7 linked regions of the Sus scrofa genome follow. The protein of the gene in region 1 interacts with the protein of each later gene in a pairwise test. Links are inferred from orthologs where the notes say so. Each region holds a gene or a part of one and is shown in the gene's direction. Other genes may lie near its edges. The genes, in order: GOLGA2, TFAP4, SCNM1, PRPF31, PATL1, PQBP1 and MAGOH.

Evidence for each region.
Region 2: the proteins of GOLGA2 (region 1) and TFAP4 interact in binary tests that used the Homo sapiens proteins (3 or more experiments, as listed by UniProt). The two-hybrid records come from large-scale screens. The link is inferred for Sus scrofa from reciprocal best matches to the Homo sapiens genes GOLGA2 and TFAP4.
Region 3: the proteins of GOLGA2 (region 1) and SCNM1 interact in binary tests that used the Homo sapiens proteins (3 or more experiments, as listed by UniProt). The link is inferred for Sus scrofa from reciprocal best matches to the Homo sapiens genes GOLGA2 and SCNM1.
Region 4: the proteins of GOLGA2 (region 1) and PRPF31 interact in binary tests that used the Homo sapiens proteins (3 or more experiments, as listed by UniProt). The two-hybrid records come from large-scale screens. The link is inferred for Sus scrofa from reciprocal best matches to the Homo sapiens genes GOLGA2 and PRPF31.
Region 5: the proteins of GOLGA2 (region 1) and PATL1 interact in binary tests that used the Homo sapiens proteins (3 or more experiments, as listed by UniProt). The two-hybrid records come from large-scale screens. The link is inferred for Sus scrofa from reciprocal best matches to the Homo sapiens genes GOLGA2 and PATL1.
Region 6: the proteins of GOLGA2 (region 1) and PQBP1 interact in binary tests that used the Homo sapiens proteins (3 or more experiments, as listed by UniProt). The two-hybrid records come from large-scale screens. The link is inferred for Sus scrofa from reciprocal best matches to the Homo sapiens genes GOLGA2 and PQBP1.
Region 7: the proteins of GOLGA2 (region 1) and MAGOH interact in binary tests that used the Homo sapiens proteins (3 or more experiments, as listed by UniProt). The two-hybrid records come from large-scale screens. The link is inferred for Sus scrofa from reciprocal best matches to the Homo sapiens genes GOLGA2 and MAGOH.

Annotation. Positions count from the first base shown.
Region 1 is NC_010443.5:268,710,085-268,713,655, reverse strand, and holds part of GOLGA2 (golgin subfamily A member 2), read left to right. Parts: intron 1-306; coding exon 307-366; intron 367-560; coding exon 561-641; intron 642-1,442; coding exon 1,443-1,481; intron 1,482-1,722; coding exon 1,723-1,785; intron 1,786-1,874; coding exon 1,875-1,968; intron 1,969-2,068; coding exon 2,069-2,175; intron 2,176-3,471; coding exon 3,472-3,530; intron 3,531-3,571. UniProt on the Homo sapiens protein: Peripheral membrane component of the cis-Golgi stack that acts as a membrane skeleton that maintains the structure of the Golgi apparatus, and as a vesicle thether that facilitates vesicle fusion to the Golgi membrane.
Region 2 is NC_010445.4:38,046,494-38,050,551, forward strand, and holds the start of TFAP4 (transcription factor AP-4), read left to right. Parts: upstream 1-1,202; 5' UTR 1,203-1,424; coding exon 1,425-1,789; coding exon of another isoform or gene 1,790-1,848; intron 1,849-2,358; exon of another isoform or gene 2,359-4,058.
Region 3 is NC_010446.5:98,079,562-98,083,877, reverse strand, and holds SCNM1 (sodium channel modifier 1), read left to right. Parts: upstream 1-1,503; 5' UTR 1,504-1,622; coding exon 1,623-1,673; intron 1,674-1,940; coding exon 1,941-2,011; intron 2,012-2,251; coding exon 2,252-2,340; intron 2,341-2,437; coding exon 2,438-2,535; intron 2,536-2,643; coding exon 2,644-2,732; intron 2,733-3,396; coding exon 3,397-3,591; intron 3,592-3,839; coding exon 3,840-3,939; 3' UTR 3,940-4,034; downstream 4,035-4,316. Other genes in the region: LYSMD1 (lysM and putative peptidoglycan-binding domain-containing protein 1), read right to left, coding at 552-731. UniProt on the Homo sapiens protein: As a component of the minor spliceosome, involved in the splicing of U12-type introns in pre-mRNAs. Plays a role in the regulation of primary cilia length and Hedgehog signaling.
Region 4 is NC_010448.4:56,004,947-56,008,517, reverse strand, and holds part of PRPF31 (U4/U6 small nuclear ribonucleoprotein Prp31), read left to right. Parts: intron 1-286; 5' UTR 287-301; coding exon 302-478; intron 479-568; coding exon 569-629; intron 630-3,115; coding exon 3,116-3,199; intron 3,200-3,571. UniProt on the Homo sapiens protein: Involved in pre-mRNA splicing as component of the spliceosome. Required for the assembly of the U4/U5/U6 tri-snRNP complex, one of the building blocks of the spliceosome.
Region 5 is NC_010444.4:11,841,543-11,845,113, forward strand, and holds part of PATL1 (protein PAT1 homolog 1), read left to right. Parts: intron 1-1,226; coding exon 1,227-1,407; intron 1,408-2,528; coding exon 2,529-2,652; intron 2,653-3,571. UniProt on the Homo sapiens protein: RNA-binding protein involved in deadenylation-dependent decapping of mRNAs, leading to the degradation of mRNAs. Acts as a scaffold protein that connects deadenylation and decapping machinery.
Region 6 is NC_010461.5:42,975,439-42,979,511, forward strand, and holds the start of PQBP1 (polyglutamine-binding protein 1), read left to right. Parts: upstream 1-1,207; 5' UTR 1,208-1,226; coding exon 1,227-1,293; intron 1,294-4,073. Other genes in the region: TIMM17B (mitochondrial import inner membrane translocase subunit Tim17-B), read right to left, coding at 435-607. UniProt on the Homo sapiens protein: Intrinsically disordered protein that acts as a scaffold, and which is involved in different processes, such as pre-mRNA splicing, transcription regulation, innate immunity and neuron development.
Region 7 is NC_010448.4:158,986,906-158,991,034, forward strand, and holds the start of MAGOH (protein mago nashi homolog), read left to right. Parts: upstream 1-1,266; 5' UTR 1,267-1,763; coding exon 1,764-1,851; intron 1,852-4,129. UniProt on the Homo sapiens protein: Required for pre-mRNA splicing as component of the spliceosome. Plays a redundant role with MAGOHB as core component of the exon junction complex (EJC) and in the nonsense-mediated decay (NMD) pathway.

The DNA of each region.
Region 1 (3,571 bases):
TGGGAGCGGCCAGCTTGGCTGGACGATGTTTAGCTAATCATTACTTCCCTGAGTCTCCTCTTTGTAGCTGTACAGATGAAGGGGTTGGACCATGAGACTGGTTCCACCGTTCTGTCCTGCTGATGGGAGCTGCTTGGGAGGGAGGGACACAGAGAAGCTGGCACAGAGGGCTTGAGCAGGGGGAAGGGGACCAGCTTAGGCAGAAAAGGAAATGCTGCCAGTCGATGGGCAAGACAGGATGTCGGAGGGCTTAGGCCTCGAGGGGGACGGAGAACGTCTCCATGTGAGCCCTCTCATCTCTTCTAGTCTTCACCTTATATCAATGGGGAGGGCCTAGCATCTCCTGCTAACATAAAGAAGCTGGAGGTAAGTGGGCCTGGACCGTGGCCCCGTGACCCTGCAGGTCAGCCACCTCCCGCCCCCCCCCTCCTCCCACAGCGGGGGCTAGGTTCCCCACTGCCAGCTGAGACAGCTCAGACACCCCCCGACCCTAATGATTGCTCTCTCTACCTCTCCCCCCACCCTCCTCCAACTCCTCCTCCTCTCTGCATGCGCCTCAGAGCCGGTACCACGAACTATCACTAGCCCTGGACTCCAGCAATCTAACAAACAAACAACTCAGTAGCAAGATAGAGGAATTGGTAAGAGTCCAGTGTTGTCCCCGATTCCACGCTGCCAATCTGGGGCTCCAGTTCCACCTTGGGGCTCCGAAGAAAGGGGCTGGGGGCCCCTGGTACCGAGGGAGAATGGGGTGCCGGGGGCCCAGGTTGCAGTGAGAGGGACCCGGGAGTGCGGCATGCAGCATGGCTCTCTCTGTGGCTGCCCTCTTTGCCTCCTCTGTTCTCCAGACGCCCCTGCTGAGTCCTCCCCCCCCTTGCCCTGGGCCTGGTGCCTCTGTGGGTAACACTAGCTTGACAAGGGTGTCCCAGCCCCGGCTTCAGCCCCTGATTCGCTCCAACTTTGACCTTGGACAAGTCACCTGTCCTCCCTGGGCTTTAGGAGGTAGAATTAGAGGGCGTCCAAGGTCCCTTTGAGCTGGAAAAAAAAGAAAAAAAAAAATCAAAGATTTGAAGGTCCTTCTCATTCCTATATCCTTGCTGGTAAGAACACCCCAGCCCGTGGTATGTGCGTGTTGAGCGGATGCAGCCTCCCAGACTGCGAGCTGGCGGAGGATGTGGTCGCTCCCTTCTCACACTCCAGCTCGAGAGGCTTATGTCCTTGTCCTCGCAAGGGAATCAGGTTCAGACCCTTGGCTTCTGTAGCTGTGAGCCCCACCTCCCAAGACCCAGAGTCTCTTGGCTGAGAAGCGATGGCCCCTTCGTGTCCCCAGCAGCTCCTCCTTTGAAGCCCACCCCCGGCCCCTGCTCAGCCCTCCTCCTTGGTCTGAGGATTGTGGGAAAGGGGGCCGACCTCAGTCTCCTCCCTTTGCTTCTTCCCCACAGAAACAAGAGAACCAGGAAACTCTGGATCAACTGGAAAAAGTAACGTGATTTCTGTGTCTGTCCCCCTCACGGCTGGTGGCTTCGGGGGAGGGTTGAGACGTAGAGGCCCGTTCTCCTCGCGCCTGATCGCAGCCCGGAGAAATGGGGGGCTCCCTGGCCCTCGCCACCCCTCCCTCACCCCCGATTATATGTTCTCATTGGTGAGACTGTCCTGGGCCAGTGGTGGCTTTCTGGGGGGCACCTCCTCCAGGTGAGAGCTGTTTCTCCTCTCTTCCCGCAGGAAAAAAAGGAATTTGAGCAGAAGCTTGCGAAGGAACAAGGGGCTCTGAGAGAACAACTGCAGGTGAGTGGATCCTGCCGGGTTCCCTCGCGGCCTCCGGGAAACGTGACTTTGCTGCTTCTCAAGCCCCCCTTTCGGCCTTTGTCCCACAGGTCCACATCCAGACCATCGGGATTCTAGTGTCTGAGAAGACGGAACTGCAGACCGCCCTGGCTCACACCCAGCAGGCAGCCCGGCAAAAAGCAGGTGGGAACCTGGGTGCCCTGTGACCCCCTGGGCCGGGCACGCTGGCCGGCCTGGAGCGGGAGTCCTTCCTCGGGCTTCACCTCTCACGCCGTCCTTTCAGGAGAGTCGGAGAATCTGGCTAGTCGCCTGCAGTCTTCCAGGCAGCGCGTGGGCGAGCTGGAGCGGACGCTGTCTGCCGTGTCCACGCAGCAGAAGCAGGCCGATAGGGTGAGCCCGGCAGCCTAGCCCTCCCCGGACGTGTAGTGGAGGGCGAGTGAGCCCAGAGGTCCCTTCCACAGGATGGGGTGACTTGCTGCCCAGAAGGCGGCACTGGCCACTTCCCGCTGCTCTAAACTCGTGTGCTTGATAGAAGCAACCCAGGCATGAGTTGGTTGCCATGGGCCAGTTGCCCGTGTGTGTGTGGTGTGTGTGTGTGTGTGTGTGTGTGGGCGTGCACGCAAGTGCAGTCACAGTGGAGGTGCTGTCTAGTGTGAGCCCTGGATGCAGAGCTCAGAGTCCGAGTGCCAGCCCTGCCCTTGCCTGGCTGTGGGCCCTGGCCCCCATGCTAGGTATTTGGACTGTGAAGGTCCATGACGGTATTTTTAGTACGTTGCCAAACTAAAGAGGGGAGACGCACGCGTGTGTGATGTATTCAGACATGTGGGGAGGGATTCACAGCAACCTGGTGGGGAGGAACAGGGTGGCTGAGAGACTTGTCACTTCTGAACCTTCTGAGTTTGGGGCTCTGCAGAGGTACCATCCACTCAAACCATGAACACAAGCTCACAATACAGTTCAATCCCCCTCATAATGCACCCCCCCACCCCAGGGAGAAAACGTGGTTAAAGAATCAGACAGACCTGGGAGGTCCCGTTGTGGTTCAGCGGGTTAAGGACCCAACTGGTATCCATAAGGATGTGGGTTCGATCCCTGGCCTCGCTCAGTGGGTTAAGGATCCGGCATTGCTGCAAGCTGCAGCGTAGGTTGCAGATGCGGCTCGGACCTGGCTGTGGCTGTGGCGTAGGCTGGCAGCTGCAACTCTAATTTGACCCTAGCCTGGGAACTTCCACATGCCACGAGTGTGGCCCTAAAAAGGAACAAAGGAATCCAACAGACCTGGAAGCTTGGTCCCAGCTCTGGGTGATTTTGGGGGAGCCACTTGCTCTCTGCTACTCCGTGCTGGGCACCTGTATGATGGAGGCAGTAATAGTAACCGCCTCCCACGGTGATTATGAGGCTGAAAGGGGAAAGTGCTGGAAAAGGTTCAGACCTGGTGACGGTAACGGTGATAGAGCTGGTGGTATTACCTGCCGGCCCCGGGCCTGGGAGCCAGCCAGCCGGGAGTTAGACCCTCCACCCACCTCTTCCACTCTTCCCGAGTTCCTGTTAAAACTGAATGCGAACGTGAACTTGGGAAGGGCTTTGGAAACATGTAAAGTGTGACACCAGGTGAGGACACGTTGCTGAGAGTTACTGTTGCTGCCGTTAGTCTGTTTTCCTGACCTCAGCCTTCCGCCTTTGCAGTACAACAAGGAATTAACCAAAGAGCGAGACACCCTCAAGCTGGAATTATACAAGAACAAGTAGGATGGGGAGGACGGGGCGGGGTGGGGGGCCTTGGCTG
Region 2 (4,058 bases), on another chromosome or scaffold:
ATTCACTCAGGCACTGTGGACAGTGATCAGGGCATACAGTTGGGTGGCTCTGTATCCTATGTTGTCCCCACATGCCATCCTTCCTGTCCACACAGGGAAGCCCCCCGGGGACTGTGGTGTTACATGGTCCAGGATCTGTACTTACAGAAACAGCCCAGCAGCTGACTTTGAAGGATTGGAAACTATACCCGTAAAAGGGCTAGGCATCTGCAAGATACTCGGAATATCTAAGAACAATAACGGTTCCTACTAAAACCAGAAATCCTTGTCTTGAGTAGGAGTATTTCAATTAGAAGGCGCGATTTGGGCGGAACCTGGAAGGCGAATAGGTTTGAGGAAGGCGGTGGGCAGGAGGGAGGACATTCCAAGGCAGGCGCGGTCTTCCTGAGCCAGGGGCCAACCTCCAGGAGCCTGGGGAGGGGACGCAGGAAGGAGGGGGGGGCGGAAGCCAGCCGCCACGGTGTTCCCCACCCCCAGGCCTTCACCCCTAGTAGAGAGCGCACCCTGGCGGAGGAGCAGGTCCCGCACGGGCTTCGCCACGAATGGGAAGCTGCAGCCTTCCGCCTACCGCGGCCAAGCTGGGGCGAGGCTCGGGCCGTCCAGCCTCCCCGCAGAGGGGTGAGAGGTGGAGACCCCGCAGCAGCCACCGGACCTCCCGGCCGCGCTGGCAGCCTGCCTCCGGGGCCGCTGCCGTCCTGGCCCGCCTCCCTTCCCTCCCCGCCAGGGCCCCTGCTTCCTAAGGCAGCCCCAGGATCCCAGGCGCCCGGCGCGCCCCCCTTTGCCCTCCCTTCCTTGGCTCCGGGATTCCCAAGCTCCGGAGCCCAGGCCAGACGGCCAGCAGCGGGCAGCTGGGCAGGGAGGGAGTGAGGGAGGGGGCTGGCCGGCCTCTGAAGTCGGCCCCAAGTTACATGTGGGAAGCGGTAGCTGTGACGCAAGTTTCCAGGGGGCCCTGGGCTCGGAGGGAGCGCGCCAGAGCGGCTCCTCTCCGTGCAGTTGCAACCGTGAAAAAAGCCCAGAGCAGCACCGCAGGCCACCTTCGCCTTTGCCGGGCCCAGCTGCGAGCCCCCGCACCCCGAGGGCGGCCAAGCGCGCAGGGTCTGCACCCGGCGGTCCCCGCCGGACCCCAGGCGTACAGGCTGGGCTCCCTCGCAGTGGCTGGTCTTTTTTTTTTTTTTTTTTTTTTTTTTTTTGCTACGCTTGCCAACCTGTCAGCTGATGGACCTCATCACCCATAGTGGCGCATGTAGCTCGGCCGCAGCTCGCTCCATTCACGCTGCGTCCCCCAGGAGGACCGGCGGCCCCCGCACCCCCAGCTGGGGGGTAAGGCCCTCAGACCCCGACCGCCACTCGGCCCTGGGGGCCAGCGCCCCTCTTGCCCCAGCCTCGCGCCGCCCTGGGGGCGCTGCAAATAGTCCTTTGTTTACATGCAATTCCTTACTCCGCGGAAGGAGGCCGGGGGAGTGCTGAGTTTTCACCAGCTGTTTCCCGCCTTGAAACAGACATCTGATCAGCTGCAAACACACACACACACACACACACACACACACACGCACATACACACGCCCGGGGAGGCAGGCCGGAGAGACCTCCCTCCCGCCCCTCCCGCCCGCCTCCCTCCCCTCGCCGCCGCCGCAGCCAGCATCTGGGACCGGCCGATTCTGCACCTCCGTCCGGCGCTGCCCTTTGATTCGGATTTCCATCTTGCATTCTCCGGCGGACCGCGGGACCTGGCTCGTGCAGAGGAGGGGGGCCGATCGCTATGGAGTATTTCATGGTGCCCACTCAGAAGGTGCCCTCTTTGCAACATTTCAGGAAAACAGAGAAAGAAGTGATAGGAGGGCTCTGTAGGTGTGTACTCCTCCTCCCCCTCACCCTCTTCCTATGATTGCAGCCCCTGGCCAGCCCGCTCCGGCGGGCGCGCGTGTGCGCACGCATGGCCCGCGCCGCGGACCCTCTCGCCTTTCTTAGCCGCCGGGGCGGCTGCAGTCCCGCGCGCCGGGCTCGGGCCTCCCAGGGACCCTCCTCTCTCGGAACGTGGGGGCCCCGAACGGCCCCGGTCACTTTTGTCCGCTGCAGGCGGGCGAGTCGCGACGTTTGTAAATTGCAAACAGACCCACGTGGTTCTGCAGCAGTCCCGGCCATGCTTGGTGCTGGTGGCTTTCCCCCCCGCGCTTCCTCCTCCCCCCTCCCGCGGTGGCTTCCTTCCTCTCCCTCCTTCATCACTCTCTCTGGGCGCCCCCCTCCAAGGGGTTCTGGGGGGGGCCTGGGGCGCGCGTGGGGCCGCGGCGCTGGCGGCTACAATGCAGCCACGCCGCGGCTCTGGGCGCGGGGGGGCGGGGAGCCGGTGGTGTGAGTGTTTGCAGGGAGCTGGGCTGCAGCGGGGTCTGGGGGCGTGCTGGAGTTCGAGGGTGTGAGGGGGGTGCGGAACCCGAGGGGCCGGCGCCGCCCGCCGGGAGCGCTGTGGACCCTGGCACGTTGGCGGCCGCCAGCTCGCTCGCCGCCCGCGCCCGGGCGCTGTTTACTAGCGAGGCCTGGACGTGACTCTGCAGCCCTCTTGGAGTAGGCGGACCTCCGCGCGCCGCCAGGCGGGAGCTGTAGTTCTGGGCTCCGCGTCCCTACGGCATTGTGGGAGTTGTAGGCGCGCCAGGGCCACGCTTTCCCCGCACAAAGCTTGGACCCCGCGGGCGGGCTGTTGGAGGCAGGTCCGGTCGGGGGGCTCTCCGGAGAGGGGGCAGCAGAGTCCGCTTTTAGCCTCACCAAGCCGCTGCCTGCAGCACGTGGGTCCCCACTGCAAACTTTCCTGTCTCACGCCCCTCCCCCAGCCATAAACCGAAAGCATCTGGTTGCCCAGCCCGCTACCCAGTTGGGTGGGTGGTCCGAGGTCCGTCGCCCTCCTCAGGAGCCACCTTCTAAGTTTTGCCCGGGATCCTCTGGATCTCCCCTTCCCCGGAGAGTGATGGGTTAGCGGACACTTGTTAAAATTCACATGCCCGCAATTCCGATCTCTAGAAGGGCCCGAACATCTGCAGGTTGAACACAACCGGCAGGATGGCGGCGCTGCATGGGGGTGTTCTCTGCGTGTCCAACTTTGGGACCTGTGGCCCCCTTTCCTGCTCTAGTAGCGAAATGGCTCCCCAGGGCTGGAGCCACGTGCTCTGCCGCCCCGGGGCGGGCAAGGCGGGGATTGAGAGAGGAGGAGCTCAGGGCGGTGTGGCCCAGGCTGGTGGACACCAGGGCCCGTCAAAACCTGTCTGCGGGAAGGTTGCTGCACACCGCCGCCCCCGTCCCAGGGCTCCCACCTTAACTACGCTCAGCAGAGGGGCTCTGAGTGTTGGCCCTTCTCCAAGGTCCAGCTGGAGAGCTTAGCTGTAATAAGGGAAAAGAAGAAAAAATTCGGGAGCTATTAATATGCTGTAGAGACTCCTTTGGGGAGATTTTTCTGAGTCCTTAGCATCTTCCCCCGAGTGAAGTGGCTTTATGGCTTCCTGTGCGGGATGAGGACACAGGTCTGGAAAGGAAGAGATAAGGCAGGTGCTGGGGCTGGAACTTGAACCTTGGTCCCAGAGCTGCTGGTTGCTCAGAGGAGGGTTGGCCAATGAGGAGATGGGTTGAGCTGCCTCAAATGCTGCAGAGGACATGCGGAGACTGATCCCAGGCAGGCTTGGCACCAGAGGACCATAGGCTGCCTGGTCTGGGCCTTGGCCGTGTCCTCCCTGGGCCCCCTAGAACTCTGGCTTGGCTCTGTTTCTGTTCCATGCCCCCCTTGGAGGAGTCCAGCAGACCCATAGGGGTCTCCAGAGTTGGGCCTGCCCAGCTGTGAGATTGTTGTCAGCCCATGCGTTGGGTGTGGGGCTGGGGCCTCTGGGTTTGTTCATTTTCTGGGAGCTGCTGGGTGAGGTAGGAAGCTTGTCACGGATCGGGTGTGAGTTGGGTGGGACCTTCTGGCCGGATATACTGGCTTCTCAGGCAGGTGGACTTTGCTCCATCCCTCGGTGACCAGCAGGGCTCCATGCCTCTGTCGCCCAGACCTGCCAGCGAGGACTGTACAGTACAGTGGG
Region 3 (4,316 bases), on another chromosome or scaffold:
GAGTTCCCTGGTGGCTCAGTGGGTTGAGGGTCTGGTGGCATCACTGCTGTGTCTCTGTTGTGGTGAGGGTTCAATACCTAGCCCAGGAACTTCCTGGCCAATCCCTGGCCAAAACAAAATAAAACAAAAGGGTATGGGCTTTGGAGTAAGATAGATTTGTTTGAATATTCACTCCAGCACTTACTAGTTATTTGACCTTGGTCAAATTGGTTAACCAATCTAAGTCTCAGTTTCTTCACCTATAAAAAGGGTATAATAATTGTATGCTTGATAGGGATGTGACGATCAGATGCGCTAATGGATGTAAAGTCTTTAGTATAGTGACTGGTATAATAAATAAGAGCTGCTCACCTCCACCGGGATATTGAGACAGGATTTGTCTCAACCAGACAGTGCAACACGAGATGGGACCCTTGTCAATTAATTTATCACAATTAACTAATTTAGACACAATTAGGAAAATTTCAGGTGAAGTTGCCCAGAGGGCCACTATATCCTCATGAGGAATAAATCTTTTCTGAGTGTCTGCGTCCCAATCCTGGAAGACTCACCGTCACCCCGTATTTGAGTGCTAGTCCAGCCAGGGTGTCTCCGGGCGCCAACTGATGCTCCAGGCGTCTTTCCCTCACCGGGGAGCAGGCAGACTGCACAAGGCTTCCATAAGAACGAGCCCGGCTCCCTTGAAGCAGTCCTGACCCCCCGAGGGGGGCCTGTCTAGAGGGAGAGGCCATCTCCTCACCCTGCGGACAACTGGAGTTGCAACTGCGGGAGGCCCGGCCAAGTGACCGATAGTGACAGGCCCGGGGTCTGGGAATGAAAATCTGGAGGATTCCTTTCCCTTTCTGTGTTCTCTCCTAAGTCTCTCCGCCTTCCCCCCACTAGGCGACCTCTGACTCCTGGCTTCCCCGCCTTCCAAGGCCTTTTCCCACAAACCTGTAACCTGACTGTTCAGTCCCTACCTGAGTTTCTCCTTAGTACCCCTCCGACTTTCGATCCCCCACAACTCGCGACATTGACCTCTGACCTTTGACCACTAGACACCCTCCTCTACACTACAGAGTTTGCCCCCAGGTCGGTCCGCCAGACCTCCCAGCCCCCAACCCCGATTCCGCGCGTCCCGGGCTTGGTCGCTAGGGTCGGGAACTAATCAGGCCCACTCCAGGTGGGCTGTGGCCTCAGGCGAAGGGCGTGATGACCGCGAGAATCTGTAGCACACTTTCCCCTGAGAGATCCTCAAAGGTACGCTCCGCATCAAATCAGTCACACTCTCAAACTCGGGATCCACAGCTAGGTTCCTCTTTCTCCAAACGCCTCTAATCTGCCAAGATGCAAGGGCCTGAATCGGGCAGGGCGGCAAGCTCTTTGAAAAAAGACTTCATTTCCCAAAAGGCTCCGCGCCGGCGGGGTCGCAGAGCACCATAGGAAATGCAGTCCCCTCTATGGGCTAGAGGCGGGTTTTCGGGATCGCGCGGCGCATGCGTGGAAGCGCATCCCGGAAGTAAGGGGGCCAACCGGAAAGAGACAGGAAAGAAAGGAGACGTCCCACTCTTGCTACGGTGGCCTGAAAGGAGTGGCGAACGCGGCGCGATAAAACTTATATTTCTGGGGCTCTCACAGTCGTGATGTCTTTCAAGAGGGAAGGGGACGATTGGAGTCAACTCAATGTGCTCAAAGTAAGCGCGAGAGGAGAGCATCTGGAGCAGCTTCAGTTGCCGTCTGAAGGCTGTGAGGGAGCTGTTTTGTTGCTGTGGCAACAACTCGGGGGAGGGGGGCGGAGGAAGCCAGACGATTGGAACTGGGCCGACACCCCTTCTTCAGCCCAGATCTCTACCCTTCTTGTGGCCTTTATTCCCTTTGAGTCCTCGTCCTTGTCATTTCCTTTTTGTTCCTCCCTCATATCCAGCTGACCCCGTCCTCATTTCTTCCCTTGTTCCCTGCAGAAACGGAGAGTCGGGGACCTGCTGGCGAGTTACATCCCAGAGGATGAGGCGTTGATGCTACGGGATGGACGGTGAGGACTAGGAGTGGATCAAGCCTGGGGGTTCTGCGGTTAGAGGCTCAACAAACTTTTGTTATTAAGCAGATTGGAAAGAACAAGGAATCTTTGGCGGGGAGTGAGTAACAGGGATGTTGGTGGTGGAGACTGGGAGACTTGGGATTTGGGCTTTGGAAAGGAGTTCTAGGCTGTGGTGGAACCTATGGCAGAGACTCCACTCCCCAGGAACCAATTATCTTCTCTCCTCCTCTCTAGCTTTGCTTGTGCCATCTGTCCTCACCGACCGGTACTGGACACCCTGGCCATGTTGACTGCCCACCGTGCAGGCAAGAAACATCTGTCCAGTAAGTTTGTGGGAAGACAGAGCATAGAGAATAAACCCTTAAAGGGTTTATTCACTCTGGGTGCCCTCCTTTTAATTCTCTTTCCCTTTCTCCTGAGGCCTGCAGCTTTTCTATGGCAAGAAGCACCCAGGAAAGGGCCTGGAGCCAAATCCAAGACAACAGAATGAATTGAGGAGAGAAGAGACCAAAGCAGAGGTAATCAGAGAGGGGAGGGTGTGTTCCAGGCTGCACACCTTAGGCTTGAAGGCTCTGGATTCTTTCTAGCTCTGAAGGTTCTGACTTTGTCTCCCATCTCCATGCCAGGCTCCTCTGTTAACCCAGACTCGACTTATTACCCAGAGTGCTCTGCACAGAGCTCCTCACTATAACAGTTGCTGCCGCCGAAAGAACAGGTCTGTGGGGTGGGTAATCCAGAAGTAGGGAGGAACAGGAGATCGATCGCTCTAAAGTACTGTTTTCCAAATTGGATTCTGAGGAATACTAGTGTTCTGGAAATGCTAACTTGAATTTCAGGAAAAAAGAATTTTGTTTGGGAAATAGGATTTTGTAATCCTGTTTGACGCATAGTAATATTACGAGTTCCCATCATGGCTCAGCGGTGAACAAACCCGACCAGCATCCATGAAGATGAGGGTTTGATCCCTGGCCTTGCTTGGTGGGTTAAGGATCCAGTGTTGCTGTGAGCTGTGGTGTAGGTTGCAGACACAGCTCGGATCCCATGTTACTGTGGCTGTGGTAAGGGCTGGCAGCTGTAGCTTGCATTCACCCCTAGCCTGGGAGCCTCCATATGCCACAGTGCAGCGCTAAAAAGACCAAAAAAAAGAATAGTAACAGTATATTTTCAGGGTTCTACACAGTCTTAAAAAAAAAAAAGCTGAAAAAACTAACTTAGGCTTTCCTTAAGTTCATTTGATTCCAAAATCCTTTTTATGCAGAACACCTGTTAATATCTTGAGGAATACAGTTTAGGAAGCACTGCTTTAAGGGGTTGGGAGTTACAGGAGATTTGGTCCTTTCCTTTACTGCTTTTACAGACTTTGATTCTTCTCTACCCAGACCAGAAGCCCCTCGTCCCTCTGTCTCTCGTTCCGCTTTTTCACCCCCAGAGGTTGAATCCCAAAGTGAGAGGATCAGTAGGGAACTTGAGCCTGCGGCTGCATCACAAACCAAGGAATCAGCCACTGTCTCATCCCCTGCACCTATGAGCCCCACAAGAAGACGGGCTCTGGATCATTATCTCACCCTTCGAAGGTGAGTGTACGGAATCACTTTCCTCAGATTGTCCCTTTTCTCTCTGGCTCTCCTTTTTTCAAACCTCAAATATTACTTATCCCTACTAGCTTTTGGGGGGGGCGGGAGGCCATGCCCACAGCATGCAGAAGTGTGCCACAGCAGTGACAATGCAGATCTATAAACTACCGAGCTACCAGGGAACTCCGCTACTAAATTCTTAACACATTTCCTTTCCTGATCGATTCTGTTTGTTCTGATATTTCCAGTTCTGGATGGATCCCAGATGGACAAGGTCGATGGATAAAAGATGAGAATGTTGAGTTTGATTCTGATGAAGAGGAACCCCCTGATCTCCCCTTGGACTGACACTCTTTCCCCATTCAGTTCACAAATAAACTATAGTGGGCGCTGGGAGCCTGACTTTCCTTGAGTCTGGTTCCTTGTCTCATTTCAGGATTTCAGGTCTGTTCGTTCTCAGCCTGGCCAATATTTCCCTGCAATGTACACAGCTCCCCATACTTCTAGCCCCTCCCCCCACTTCTACCAAAGTCATGCCAAGCGTCAGCTGCATGCAGCCCGGTGCCCTAAAATAAGTCTGTCAGAAGGAGGTCTTTGCCCTTCATGTTGTCTGACTTCTTCCCCACCTCCACTCAGAGTCTTTTCCTCCTTCAAATGACATGAAGTTTTTGGGTAGGCACTGGGTGGGGTGGGGGTGGGAGCTGGACAGGTCTGGAAACAGGGCC
Region 4 (3,571 bases), on another chromosome or scaffold:
AGTATTTCTCGTCCTAGTGAGGTGGCAGAGTGAGGCTGTGCAGTGTCCTGCTCGTGAAGTGAGGGTGAGGAGGGTGGGCAGAGGAAGTTGAGACCGGAGACCCTCTGGGTCTGGGAGGTATTTCCTGGGCACCTGCTGTATGCCAGGCGCAGTTAGGAGCTGGAGAACAAAGCAAGTGAATGTCCCCGTTCTTGCGGAGCTTGCCGGCCAGCGGGGCCCGTCAAGGACCTGGGCCTTCTGGCGGGGGAGGCCCTCTCCGTGATGAGGGGGAACCGTGCTCTCCCAGCCCACAGGCCTTGGCATGTCGCTGGCGGACGAGCTCCTGGCTGACCTTGAGGAGGCGGCAGAGGAGGAGGAAGGGGGAAGCTATGGGGAGGAGGAGGAGGAGCCGGCAATCGAGGATGTGCAGGAGGAGACACAGCTGGATCTCTCCGGGGACTCGGTCAAGAGCATCGCCAAGCTGTGGGACAGCAAGATGGTGAGAGGAGCTCCCGGGAGGGCGGGGTGACACGGCCAGTAGCTGCTTCCCGGCAAGTCCTGGCTTCTGACCTTCCTCCTCCCTGAGCAGTTTGCTGAGATCATGCTGAAGATCGAGGAGTACATCAGCAAGCAGGCCGATGCCGCGGAAGGTAACCCCCCCGACAGCCCTCCCCGCTCTTCTCCAGCACCCCCCCACACACACTCTTCTCCAGCCAGGCCCCTCAGCCCTTTTGCTGCTCGTTGGCTCTCTCTCACCCGCTGCCAGAGCCCTCTTCCAGACGGACCCCTTCCCTCCCAGGAGTGCGTCGCATTATAAAGGCAGGTGACGCTTCTTCAGTACCTGCTCTGTGCTGAGCGCTGACGAATTGCAATAGGATTTAGCTCAAGGCTTCCCAGACTTTATGGACTCATAGGCTCAGTTACAAGGTTTTACTACATCTCTCATTATTTACTTTGTTATTTTTTAATTTTTTTTTTTTTTTTTTTTTTTTTTTTGTCTTTTTGCTATTTTCTTTGGGCCGCTCCCACGGCGTATGGAGGTTCCCAGGCTAGGGGTCCAATCGGAGCTGTAGCCACTGGCCTTTGCCAGAGCCACAGCAACGCAGGATCTGAGCCGCGTCTGCAACCTACACCACAGCTCACGGCAACGCCGGATCGTTAACCCACTAAGCAAGGGCAGGGATCGAACCCGCAACCTCATGGTTCCTAGTCGGATTCGTTAACCACTGCGCCACGACGGGAACTCCTATTTTTTAAATTTTTTTAAGTCAGCATACTTTTTTCTTTTTTCTTTTTTTTTTTTTTTAGGGCCCCACCCGTGGCATATGGAGGTTCCCAGGCTAGGGGTCCAATCGGAGCTACAGTCACCAGCCTACACCAGAGCCACAGCGATGCAGGATCTGAGCCGCATCTGCGACCTACACCACAGCTCACGGCAATGCTGGATCCTTCACCCACTGAGAAAGACCAGAGATCGAACCCACAACCTCATGGTTCCTAGTCAGATTCGTTTCCACTGCGCTTATGATGGGAACTCTGTCAACATACTTTTTTCTTTAAGTTTACCTGAGAGGGGGGGACAGCACTGCTGTGGATGGACAGCTGGTATCTTCTGGTAAATAGAAAGTGCCCACGAAAATGCAGAAAAGTAGCCCTAAAAACTATTAGAGCATCATGTAAAATCTCTCCTCGCTTCCGCTCGGGGCAGACGGGGTCGACTCCTGCGGGTTCAGCTCTGAGGACAGTCCTGTTTCCCGTCAAGCCGGGGCTCCAGTGGAAACCAAGGGAGGTTTTGGGCGCGGGCGCACTGGGTCAGAGCAGAGTCTCAGGGCGATTTGCACTCGTTGCCTCCCTCCTTTAGCTTGGGGCCTGGGTGGGCTCAGCCCTCCAAATGCACAGGAGCTGACAGCTACCGGCACAAGGTGCCTGCTGGGATGAGGGGCACTCAGGACACTTGGGAGCCGCCTCAGTCAGGGAGGACCTGGTGTCCGAACTGGGCTTTGAAGCATGAGTACGCAGGTCAGGCCAAAAACAGGGACGGGAGCCCAGGGAAAGAGCTGCTCGTGCAAAACCTCGGGCATCCCTGGTGGTTGAGAGGCCGAAGAAGCACCAGACGCTGCGGGGTTGGAGTGCCTGGCGGGGGGCTTCTCCGTCCAGAGAGCCGTGGAGCATCATTTCCTGGATTCGGTCAGATCCGATCCCACACTCAGCGACATGAAGCATCTCGAAACCGGGTGGCTCGTGACTTCTGGGTGTGGTGGGAGCACAGGGACATCTGACCCTCCTCGGGTGCCTTCTGAGTCTCAGGGCACAGAGGCCTTTGAGCGCCAGGGTCAAGAACGTGGACTCTGGGGTCAGACCCGAGCTCTGCCATCTGCTGGCTCTGTCCTGCTGTGTCTCCTCTAATTTAGCACCACCCTCCCTGGGTGGCTGTGGCTCAGTCAATGCCTAGAAGATGCTTAGAGCCTTGTCACCCACATTGCAAGTCTCTGTAAGTCTTGTGTCAACTGCCGCCCCTCCTGCCCCGATAAGCCCACCAGCACCATCGTTGGAATTGTTAAGGCTTGGGTAGTGTTCTACAGACAGATGCGAGGAGGGGCTGTACCAGGCAGGAGGGACAACATGTGCAAAGGCCTGGAGGAGAGGGAAGCAGCCCTGAGTGGTCCAGGCACTGTAGTCTGTCCTTAATGGCTGGGCTGGAAGAGTCCAGGGTGTGAGGAGAGGAGGCGGCGGGTAGGGTGCAGAGCCCAGACCGGAGTGAGGTGGCAGGTGCCCGTGGAGCAGCTCCAGTGTGGCCGGGCGCGGGGTGCGGCCGGGGGCAACAGCACAGCGCTTGTCCTCTCAGAGCTTCCAGTCTCGGGAGGCCTTGCACCTCTGGCTGGGGAGCTTGGCCGTTCGCCTCAGGGGTGTGGGAGCTCCCGGGGTTTTGTTCTAGGGCGAGATAGGGTCCCGTCTAGACTGGCCTGGGGGGAGAGATGAGAGGTTCACAGCCACACAAACCTGTCCCCTTGTTTCTGCCCTCACCCGCTCCTCCTGCTGCCCTCCAGCCCCACCCCCAATCTCCCGGCTGTGGGACCCGGCAGGGAGGTGGGGGCTCAGACACTTAGCTGTCCTGGGCTCTTTCCCGTCCTCACAGTGATGGGACCGGTGGAGGCGGCCCCCGAGTACCCGGTCATCGTGGACGCCAACAACCTGACAGTGGAAATCGAGAACGAGCTGAGTGAGTGCCGGGAAGGGCAAGCAGAGCCAGCCCCACGCCGTGTCCCCCATGGCCCCTTCCTGTCCCCAAGGGAGGGGTACGTGGGATCCCAGGGCCCTGCTCCCATGACCTCGAACCCAGGTTCAGCTGCTGTAACACTGGTCACGCGGGAGGGACGCGCATCTTCCTCTCATGTGAAGGCTGGGTGGAGGCCAGGCTCTCTCTGTCTGGTTGATCTGCTGCCTATTTCCTGGCACCAGGTGACTGTCCGCCTCCTGCTGTCGCCTCCCATCCCCGCCAGCAGAGCAGGAAGGGAGGGCTCGCTCTCTTTGCGGGAGTGGCTGGAAGTTGCACATGTGGCATGAGCTCACATCTTGTGGACCAGCACTAAGT
Region 5 (3,571 bases), on another chromosome or scaffold:
ACTCATTAATTGGCAGGAGTGGAGAGTGTAGCAATAAATAACAAGGTTGATAATATGGCTGTAGTTCATCCTAGCAGTTCTACTTTTCAGTATATACCTGAGTATATTGTCAACATGGTTAAATATGAAAAACATAATGTTGAGTAAGAAGCAAGGAGCAGAATTGTGTCTCTAGTACCATTTATATAAAATAGAATAATACTGTATAATATTTAAAAGTAGAGATACAATAAAAGCATAAAAACATTTTGGATGCATACCAAAATCAGGATAGTGGTTCCTATAAGAAGGAAGGGGAGCTGGAAACCAGGATCCAGCGTGGTATAGACGGGCCTTCAACGTAACACTGTACTGCTAATACTACTTTTTAAAAATCTGAAACAAATTTGATCAAGTAAAATTTTTTTATTAAGTCTAAATGGTGAGTAAATAGATGCTTTTAATAATAGTGTTTGCTGATCTTTTATATGTTTGAAGTCTGTCATGATTTTCAGTAAGGTTTTTTGTTTGTTCCTTTGTTTTGGCTTTTCAGGGCTGCACCCACGACATGAAAATTCCCAGGCTAGGGGTCGAATCAGAACTTCAGCTGCTGGCCCATGCCACAGCCACACCAGATTCTTAACCCACTGAGCAGGGCCAGGGATCAAACCCACAACTTCATAGATACTAGTCAGGTCCATTACTGCTGAGCCACAATGAGATCCAACACAAGATTCTTTAACCCACTCTGCCAGGCTAGGGATAGAACCCAGGCCTCCTCAGCAGCTGGAGCCATTACAGTCAGTTTTTTTTTTTTTTTTTTTTTTTTTTTGTCTTTTTGCTATTTTCTTTGGGCTGCTCCCGAGGCACATGGAGGTTCCCAGGCTAGGGGTTGAATCGGAGCTGTAGCCGCTAGCCTACACCAGAGCCACAGCAACGCGGGATCCAAGCCGTGTCTGCAGCCTACACCACAGCTCACAGCAACGCCGGATCGTTAACCCACTGAGCAAGGGCAGGGACTGAACCCGCAGCCTCATGGTTCCTAGTTGGATCCGTAAACCACTGCGCCACTACGGGAACTCCTACAGTCAGATTTTTAACCCACTGTACCATAGCAGGAATTTCTCTTTTCCACTTCTCTTTTAACAGAAGTAAGGGAAATCTTTTTTTTAACTGGCCTGGTTTGTGTTATAAGGCATAATTCATGTATCCACTTGGAGTGAATGTGGCATGTATTTCTTTTTCAGTCAGCATCGCAGTCTCAATGGTGCAGGAGATAGAGGAAGTCACCGGAGCAGTCATCAAGATCACCTCCGAAAGGATCCATATGCCAATCTCATGTTACAGCGAGAGAAGGATTGGGTCTCCAAAATCCAGATGATGCAGCTGCAAAGCACTGACCCCTACCTGGATGATTTTTATTACCAGGTAAATTCTCTTGCCAGTTTTGAGGATAACAGTTTAGTCTCTTGCGCTGGTGAAGGCACTCATTTTAATATTGATAGAATTAATATTGATAGGATTTTTTTTTTTTGAGGTAGTCTTCAAGTAGGTAAGAAGTGACTGAGCAAATTCTGTCCTCTTTTCAAACTGGAGACTCACACTATTCACTAAAATGTTTGCATACACCCCTTTTGCTTCTTCCATGTAGAGGCTCTCAGACCAGTATTTTCAGATCTCTTTGGCATCAGCAATCTGGTTCCTTCGATTAAGAATATTGACAGAAAAAAAAAAAAAAAAAAAAAAAAGGATTCCCGTCGTGGCGCAGTGGTTAACGAATCCGACTAGGAACCATGAGGTTGCGGGTTCGGTCCCTGCCCTTGCTCAGTGGGTTAACGATCCGGCGTTGCCGTGAGCTGTGGTGTAGGTTGCAGATGCGGCTCAGATCCCTCATTGCTGTGCCTCTGGCGTAGGCCGGTGGCTACAGCTCCGATTCGACCCCTAGCCTGGGAACCTCCATATGCCGTGGGAGCAGCCCAAGAAATAGCAACAACAACAACAACAACAAAAAGACAAAAAAAAAAGAATATTGACAGTCTGACTTTAAAGATATTTCCATTGATGATTATTTTGAAAGCTCAGATTTTTTATCTTTTGTCTTTTTTTTGTTGTTGTTGTTGTTGTTGTTATTGTTATTGTTGCTATTTCTTGGGCCGCTCCCGCGGCATATGGAGGTTCCCAGGCTAGGGGTTGAATCGGAGCTGTAGCCACCAGCCTACGCCAGAGCCACAGCAATGCAGGATCCGATCCACGTCTGCAACCTACACCACAGCTCACAGCAACACTGGATCCTTAACCCACCGAGCAAGGCCAGGAATCGAACCCGCAACCTCATGGTTCCTAGTCGGATTCATTAACCACTGAGCCATGACGGGAACTCCAGATTTTTTAATAAAGTAAATTCATTGCAATCTAACAAAAACAAAAGATCAGTACATTTATAGAGTACAAGGTGGTGGTGCTGCCACTAGTATAAATTAATTATTTAGTGATAAAGAGCAGCCATATTCTGTGCTTGTTGCAACTAAAATCATATTCTCATGTGGTAGAATTACTTTGAAAAACTGGAGAAACTCTCAGCTGCTGAAGAAGTGCAAGGTGATGGCCCTAAAAAGGAGCGCACCAAGCTCATTACTCCTCAGGTGGCCAAGCTGGAGCATGCCTATAAGCCAGGTAAGGTCCCATCCTCATGCCCAAAATTGAAAAATGTGACATGGTGCTGGTAGGATAAAATAAAAATAATTGTGTAGGAAGTTCCTCTGTGGAGCAGAGGGTTCGTAATGATCCAGCTTTGCCGTAGCAGAAGCATAGGTCACAACCGTGGCACACATTTGATCCCTGGCCCAGGAACTTCCACATACCCCAGGTGCAACGCAAAAAAAGAGAGTTCCCTTGTGGCACAGTAGGTTAAGGATCCAGCATTGTCACTGCAGGGGCCCAAGTCACTGCTGTGGCATGGGTGTGGACAGACAACTGTAAATAACTGTATAGATGATTAGATAGAGATGTTTGAAACTGATTGACTTAGTACCGTTGTCCTTGGCAAATGCAGGGGTCAGTGTTAATCAAGCATGAAATGAATGGTTTGACAGATGGCCTTTCAGATCCTTTACTAAGAGTCCAAGACTTTTTCTTTTCTTTCTTTTTTTTTTTTTGCTGCGTGCATGGGTGGCATATGGAAGTTCCTGGGCCAGGGATCTAATCCAAGATGCATCTGTGACCTATACCACAGCTATGGCAACGCTGGATCTTTAACCTCCTGCGCTGGCCAGGGGCTCGAACAGCACTTCCATAGAGACAAGCCCACTGCACCGTGGGGGGATCTCCCAGAGTCCATGACTTTTAAACCTGTGATAATTTCTAGTATTTGTAAAATAGATAAGGGGGACGTACTTAGGATTTTTGTCATGTTTTCTTTCTTTTGTCTTTGTAGGGACGTGCCTGCGGCACATGGAAGTTTCTGGGCCAAGGGTCATCTGCCAGCCTACGCCACAACCACAGCAATGCAACGACAGGTCTGAGCCTTGTCTGTAACCTATGCCACAGCTCATGGCAACACCAGATCCTTAACCCACTGAGCAAGGCCAGGGAT
Region 6 (4,073 bases), on another chromosome or scaffold:
GGACGATCCGACACCCCCTCCTTGCCCACAGTGGGCTCACCCAAGCCCCGCCTCCATTCACCAAAGGGACCTGGGAAAAACCACGCGCGGTAACCCTGGGGATTTCCGCCTAGCAACACACCACCCCCCGGCTGGAATGGATTCGACCAACGTGTCTCTTTCCGTTAACAAGAGGGACCGGGGACAAGAGTCAAGGGAAACGTGGAGTGGTTCGTCCTGCACCGCACCAGCTCCTTCAAGCACACAGTTGTGGCCCCTCTTAACGGAGCCCAAGTAAGGAAACAAGTGGACGGGAGCGGAAGGAGACAACAAACGTTTAAAAGTCTCCCGAGTCTGGGACGTGGCGCTGTGTAGCCAGCGCCTCCCCCGCCCGCCTCCCACCGCTGGCCGTGGCGCCGCAGCAAGAGTCCCGAGGCCTGTGCCCCTCGCCGTACCAAGGCTCCCGAGCGTACTCCTCCATGGCGCCGGCGTCCGGCCGCGCAGTCTGGCTAAATCCCGGCCGGGCCACACCCCCACTGTAAACGCACACAGGCGCCCGAGCTTTCCACCTATTCCAAGGTAATGATTGGGTCCTTTCGCCAGACGTCAGGCCAAGGCGCACTCTCATTGGCCAGTTAGGTTTCCGTCATCTGTTCTCTGCAGCCCGAGCGTCGCCCAGTTACCTCTGGCTCAGGGAGAGAGGGCCTCATTCTTTCCCTCAGGAGAAAAAGAGTCGTGGTCCTGGCGATCATAAAGGCGTCGAGAGAGAGGCCGACAGTCTGACAGCCTTCCGCAACCCGCGTGACTGTATTGGTAATGTCGGGGTGGGCGCATTTTTTGGAGCTAGAGGAAACCCTGCTCCCCCCACCCCTGCTCCTTGGTTCCTTCCACCCGGCAGTCTTTGGGGGACGTTGGGTGAGCCCATTTCTGGGGCGCGGGGGAGCGGCGCTTGGCCCCTTCGGCGATGGGTGGAGCCTAGGCCTGGGAGAGGAGGCCTGGGAGAGGAGTCCTGTCCCGGAGCACCCCGCCTGGAGAGGAGAGTTGGCGAGAATTTCGGTGATACTGCCGTTTATCCCTTCCACCTTTTAGCGGGTAGGTTCTGTTGCCCAGCTCCTGGTGCAGGTGGGTAGGTGGGAGTCTAGATGAGTGCATGTTGGGGAGAGGCGCTTGCTTACGAGCTCCAGATTCAAATCCTTATCTGAACTGCTTTCTCGTCTGTCCTTCCCTAGGTCTGTCTGCTACCCGCTATGCCGCTGCCCGTTGCGTTGCAGACCCGCTTGGCCAAGAGAGGCATCCTCAAACATCTCGAGCCCGGTGAGAGAGCTAAGAGCAGATGGGCCTACCATGTGCCAGGCTTGACAGGCACTTTGTTGTTGATATTGCCACTCGATCCCTAGTATGGGCCTACTATATACCAAGCAGTGGGCTGGCAGACATTTTGTTGTAAACAATACGTATTCCTGACGCCGATTCCTACCGCGTGCGCGCGGACGCCTACGGTGGGGGTGGGGCAGGGAATAGACATTTCAGCTTTAGTCGTACCTAATACTGACAGCTGATGCTTATCTTGGATCTTCATACGCCAGATTTAATCCAATCGATCCCTGGAAGAGTATCTAAGGATATTAATAGTAAACTGACATCTATTACAGCCTCTTTTGGACCAAATACAGTGGGAGGAGGCTGATATTTTGTTCTTTACCATACTAGTAGGTAACATTTTTTTCAGATCTACTGTAGAGCCAGGTACTGTTCAGGCGATATATACCGACTTGTTCACCAGTTCAATAACTGACATGTATTTCGGGTCTGCTTAAGTGGCTGGCATATGCATTATGGTTTACAGTATGTAAAATAATGGTAGGGGAGTTCCTGTCGTGGCGCAGTGGTTAACGAGTCCGACTAGGAACCATGAGGTTGCGGGTTCGATCCCTGGCCTTGCTCAGTGGATTAAGGATCCAGCGTTGCCGTGAGCTGTGGTGTAGGTCGCAGACGCGGCTCGGATCTGGCGTTGCTGTGGCTCTGGCGTAGGCTGGCAGCTCAGCTCCGATTGGACCCTTAGCCTGGGAACTTCCATATGCCGCGGGAGCGGCCCAAGAAAAGGCAAAAAAACAAAAAACAAAACAAGGATAATGATAGGATCTGTCATTTTGGCCTGCTGTGCTGCCGTTGCCAGTATTTATACCTTACTGTCATTACAGTAAAAGTTGGCATCTATTTTGGGCTAAGGTGTGGCCGTGTACTGGAAAACTCATTTTCACTTTATTGACAGGTGACATCTATTACAGGTTTGTTGTGTGCCAAGCATAGATCTTTGGTTAATAATACGGATAATGGTCATTGATATTTATTTTAAGCTTACTGAATACCGGGCCTTGTGCCCGTGGTACGTTTCTTACTAACAACACTAATGATTATAGCTGATGATCTATTTTGGACCTATTGTGTGACAGGCACTATGTTATTGCTGAAATAGACATTTCATTGTTAGCTGTATACACAGTTGAAACCTGTGATCGGCCAACTGAGGTCCAGGTACTCATGTACCTTTTTTAAAATGTTTGGTCTTTTTATGGCCACACCCACGGCATATGAAAGTTCCCGGGCTAGGGGTCGAATCAGATCTGTAGCCGCTGGCCTATGCCACAGCCACAGCAATGCCAGATCCGAGCTGCATCTGTGACTTACACCACAGCTCACAGCAGTGCCAGATTCTTAACCCACTGAGCAGGGCCAGGGATCAAACCTTCGTCCTCGTGGATGCTAGTCGGGTTCGTTATTGCTGAGCCACAATGGGAACCCCCACTCATACACCTTTTTTATTCTGTTGATAGTAACTGAAAACAGTTGCAGGTCTCAGGAGCTGAATATATTCAGAGCAGTGTTTGGATAAATGCCTTGCTCTCCAAACTTGCTACTCAATATACTAGAATCAGAAACTCCCTATTTGCCAAGCTGGAGAACTGAATGAATTTGGACGTTTTTAGATAAAACCTTTGCTGTTCAAACTAATTTTGTCCAAATAGGTTTGGATAGCGGGGAGTTTCCGTCATGGCTCAGTAGTTAACAAACCTAGTTAGTATCTATGAGGACGCGGGTTCAACCCCTGGCCTCACTCAGTGGGTTAAGGATCTGGCATTGCCATGAGCTTCAGTGTAGGTCTCAGGTGGGGCTTGGATCCTGTGTCGCTGTGGCTGTGGCCTGGAGTGGCAACTACAGCTCCAATTTGACCCCTAGCCTGGGAACCTCCACATGCCACAGGTGTGGCCTTAAAAAGACAAAACGATACATAAAAATAGATTTGGGGAGTTCCCGTCATGGCGCAGTGGTTAACGAATCCGACTAGGAACCATGAGGTTGCGGGTTCCGTCCCTGCCCTTGCTCAGTGGGTTAACGATCCGGCGTTGCCGTGAGCTGTGGTGTAGGTTGCAGACGCGGCTCGGATCCCGCGTTGCTGTGGCTCTGGCGTAGGCCGGTGGCTAGCTATGGCTCTGATTGGACCCCTAGCCTGGGAACCTCCATATGCCGCGGGAGCGGCCCAAGAAATAGCAAAAAGACCAAAAAAAAAAAAAAAAAAAAAAAAGATTTGGATAGCAGGGTGTCACATACTGTCTGAACACAGGAACTAAACAAACATGGATACACGTTTTTTATTTAATTTTTATTTTTTTTAGGGCCACACCTGAAGCATATGGGGGTTCCCAGGCTAGGGGTCTAATCAGAGCTACAGCTGCCAGCCTACACCACAGCCACAGCAACGCCAGATCCAAGTGGCATCTGGGACCTACACCACACACAGCTCAGGGCAATGCCAGCTCCTTAACCACTGAGCGAGGCCAGGGATCGAACCTGCAACCTCATGGTTCCTAGTTGGATTCATTTCCTTGCGCCACAACAGGAACTCCGGATACACTTTTTTGTTTTTTTTGCTTTTTAGGGCCGTACCCGCGGCGTGTGGAGGTTCCCAGGCTAGGGGTCGAATCAGAGCTACAGCTGCCGGCCTACGCCACAGCCACAGCAACGCCAGATCCGAGGCATGTCTGTGACCTACACCACAGCTCACGGCAACACTGGATCCTTCACCCACTGCGCGA
Region 7 (4,129 bases), on another chromosome or scaffold:
ATGTGGGGTAAAGTACTGGTTTGTAAACTCCATCACATTGTACCCAGACAAAATTTTCCTTGTTTGTATCCACCCCAGCACCCCTCAAGGACCACATTTGACTGTATTTGATGTAACAGGCATGTTAGAATGTGGGGTCCCCCTAACCATTTCTGCTTTTTGTCTTGTCCTTCCAAGTTCCGTTAGCTTCTGTACTCGGTCCCCTTTGGAGTCTGGTTTCTCTTCCAGAGGCAAAGGGTGATGTGCTGCATCTCACTAGTTGACTTACATCATCTTGATGAACTAAAAACCAAATGTGGACGTTTGTAAAATAAATGCACTCTTTCTAGAGATTAAATTCATTTTTTAAAATCTGGAAGTACTGTTTCATTGTGATGCTTCAATGAGGGGGGTGTGGAGGATCAATATTATTGTTTGAATTTTAGAGATGAGGAAACGGGTGAAGGAACTGCCCAAAGTTGACACTTATGTTTTAGTGCCCCCCAAAGTACGTGTCGCACATGCAGTGCTCATGCGCATGTGGCGTTCTCTGCCTACATTTTCCTTCTCTGCCTCCTCTGGCTAATTCCTATTTGTCCTTGAGTATTCCACTTCCGAAGCCTTCTCTATTCTCCCTGACTCAGACCTGACTCATAAGATATGGTAACCATCTGTGTTTCCACAACAAATTTCGCCTACCTGTATCCCAGTATTTCCACTCTGCCTCTCACTCCCATGCCAGTGAGGCTGCTTTTACCAAGGTCACCCAGGACCTTCTTAATTATAAACCTTGCAGATATTTTCAGTCCTTATATTCCTTGACCTGGAAGCAGTATGTAACACTGTTGGCATTCCGTTCTTGAAATACTCTTATTTTGGCTTACAGGATGCTATACACCTGGTTTCCCCCCTACCGCTCTAGCTACGTCTTGTTCTCTTTTGCCTATGAATTTCATACTTCTGATCTTCTCATTTTCCAATCCAGTCTACAATATTGAAGCCAGAGTTGTTTTTCTAGAATGCTATATAGGTCATTTCACCACCACCCTTTGGATGACTGGGGAATGGGCGATTAAATAGTTAACTCCTACTCAAAGCATCTCTTCTAAAGACCAGAGAGGTAGAAAAGCAAAGGAAGAAATAAAAGCTTGAAAGAGATAAGTGCAGGCGAGTTTGTTACAGGGAAATGGCAAGCTCCACTGTGGATTCAGGGAAAGCGTCACGGAGAAAGGTTTCTTGAACTGGTCCTTAAACAGCAGGGTTCAGTTGAGCCAACGTTAGACACATGCAGCGTAGTGCGGGGCGTTCTATGAGTTTTGGGTCCTATAACCCTATTTTACTGTTGGCCCAGAGAGAGTAAAGGGCTTTGTCCCACTCACACAGACAGGTGTCCTGAAGGAAGGTGGAGGTTCAGAGGACGCAGGACTTGGAGTGTAAGCCCTTGGTCTTAAAACGCGGACTCCAGACCACGTTCGTCCTCCTACCAAGCTCTAGAACCCCTTGGACCGCAGGCCCAGAAGGACGCAGGCTTACAAACCTCAACCTCCCTCCCTCCCCGGCTGAGGGGGCGGGGCTACACCAATCCCGCCTCCGTGGGGAAGGGCTTCGTTCCGCCAGGAGGGGCGGAGCCTACTTGGCCCGCGGGTCGGGAGGGGTCGCTCTACGCCCGGAGGCGGAGTTGTCTGGCGTCACTTCCGCGCGCCGTTGTCTACGTCAGTGTCGGGCGCCTACGGCAGAGGTGCGGTTTGCTCTTAAAGTTCGGTCTCGGATACCTTTTGCGAGCCATGGAAAGTGACTTCTATCTGCGTTACTACGTGGGTCACAAGGGCAAATTCGGCCACGAATTCCTGGAGTTTGAGTTTCGACCCGACGGTGAGAAAAGCGTCCGGCCTGACGGGAGCGAGGTGTAGGCCTGGGGACGGGCGAGTGGGAGGAGTGTGCGAGGAACTGGAGGAGGAAGAGACTGATGGCTGTGAGGCGCCGATTTGGAAGGAACGATACTGTGTCTTCCCCACTGGTTCTTTTCGTGTTCAGAATCTTCTGTTTAGTGACATTTCTGACCACAATGATTCATTCAGTAAACGTTCCTTGAGCGCCTACCTTGTGCCAGGCTCTGTTCCACCATCTGGGATACAAGAGTGAACACTTCCCGTCTCATGGAACTTAGATTCCCGTGCTGGGAGATCTGTAAACAACAAACAAACAAAAAGCAACAAAAAAAGAAGATTCCAGATAGTGATGAGTGGTCAGAAAACAAAGTGATGGTATAATTGCTGGTGGACTGCATTTAGAAAGGGTGGCCATAGGCGAACTCTCTGAAGAGCAGATATATGAACTGAGTTCTGATTGACAAGAAGGAGCCAGCCTTGTGACTCTCAGGTAGAAGAGCATTCTAGGCAGAGGGAGAAACAAGTATCAAGGCCATAAGGCAGGGATGAACTAAACATGTTTCAGGTGGCCAGTGTGGCTGAAGAGTAGTGAGCTCTGGAGAGAATAGTAAGTAGCCTGATAAACAGGCAAGGGTCACACCATATAGTCTTTATAGGGTGTGGTAGAGTTGGGATTTTTGTTCTAAGTGCAGCAGGAAGCAATTTGAAAGTTTTAAGCAGAGGAGAGATGTAATATGTTCTTGAAAAAGTTTTGTAGTTATTAGGTGCAGAATGGGTAAGAATGAAAACTACTTAATAGGAGGCAGAATTGTTAAGACGGAAGGGATGTTGGTTGGGACTAGAGTGATAGTGATGGCATACTGTTGATGGCACAACCAGTAGGACTTTGCCAAGTGATAGATTTGGGGAGGCGCCAGTACAGTGAAAGAAAAGGAATCAAAGATGACAGAAAATTTATCCTAAATGGGGGCACAAAAATGAACTGACACGCCCCGGTTGTGAAGGAAATAGGTTTGTTAGCAAACAAAGACAAGACAGTGTAGTGGCTACTGGGGTAGAAAGACACAGAAAGGACCCTTGGAGCAGAAGGAAGGCACCTAACCCAGCCTGGAGGTCAGAGAAGACTTCTTGAATAAGATGACATGGGGAAGTGGAGGTTTGAGCCTTTAGTAATGTGAAGGAGTTAGGCAGAGAGTCAAGAAGGCATTTTCAGAAAGCATTAACAGCGAAGAGACCGAAACCCAAAAAGTGAATGGGGTGTTTCAGGCAGAAACCAAACACATTTGACCCTTGAACAACATGGGTTTGATTGCATGGGTCCACTTAATTTTTTTCAGTAGGAAAGACCTACATGATCCACAGTTGGTTGAGTCCAAGATGAGGAACCGTGGATACAGAGGAACTGCAGATGCAGAGGGCTGGCTCTGAGTTATACCAGTGTTCAACTACAGAGAGGCTGGGTGCCCTATGCCCAAGGTTGTTTATGGGTCAGCTGTAATTTGATTAACTCCAGCTATGTGCAAGAGGACTTTTGGAGGAGTGGCCCTGGAAGTGGGCTCAGCGTAGCAGTAACCCATGTTGAGGAATTTGGGTTTTATCAAGACGGCAGTGGGAAGTCATTGTTGGTATCAAAGTGTTAGAGTAACCTAATCAGATCTGTTAACTATCACTTTGTCCACTGTATGGAGAATGAATTGAAAGGAGAGGAACTTGAGGCAGAGAGACGGTACAGTGAGGCGTCAATTAGTGTGGCTCTTTTTAGTGTGCCTTCTGTTCTGTAGGGAAAAAATTATCTCCTTTATTTCCTTTTATCTTCTTCATATCCACCATATATACTCAGGTGAACCTGTTGGATGCACATATGACTTTTTATACCAAATATGCATAATAATATCACAGGAATAGATTATAGAGTGTTGCACAGTCACTTGTTTATATACGTAAAAAGCATTTTAACAGTTTTCAGAATGCTTTCACAACTCTTGAGCCTCAGGGGGCCCTGTCTGTAGGTAAGTTATCGGTTACTCCTGTTTTTCAGCTGAGGGCATTAATCTGCAGAGATGTGATTTGCCTGTCACAAAAGAGTCTGTTCTTTAATCACAACTGAGCTGCCTTTGGCAAGAATTATAATTCATTATCAGCTGTATTTTTTGCTGGGAGGCTATTTAATAGTGTTGATGGAAAAAAAAAAAAACTCAAAAGTTGAGAGTTATGTTTTATTTGACAGACATACTGAGGACTTAAGCCTGGGAGACAGGTTC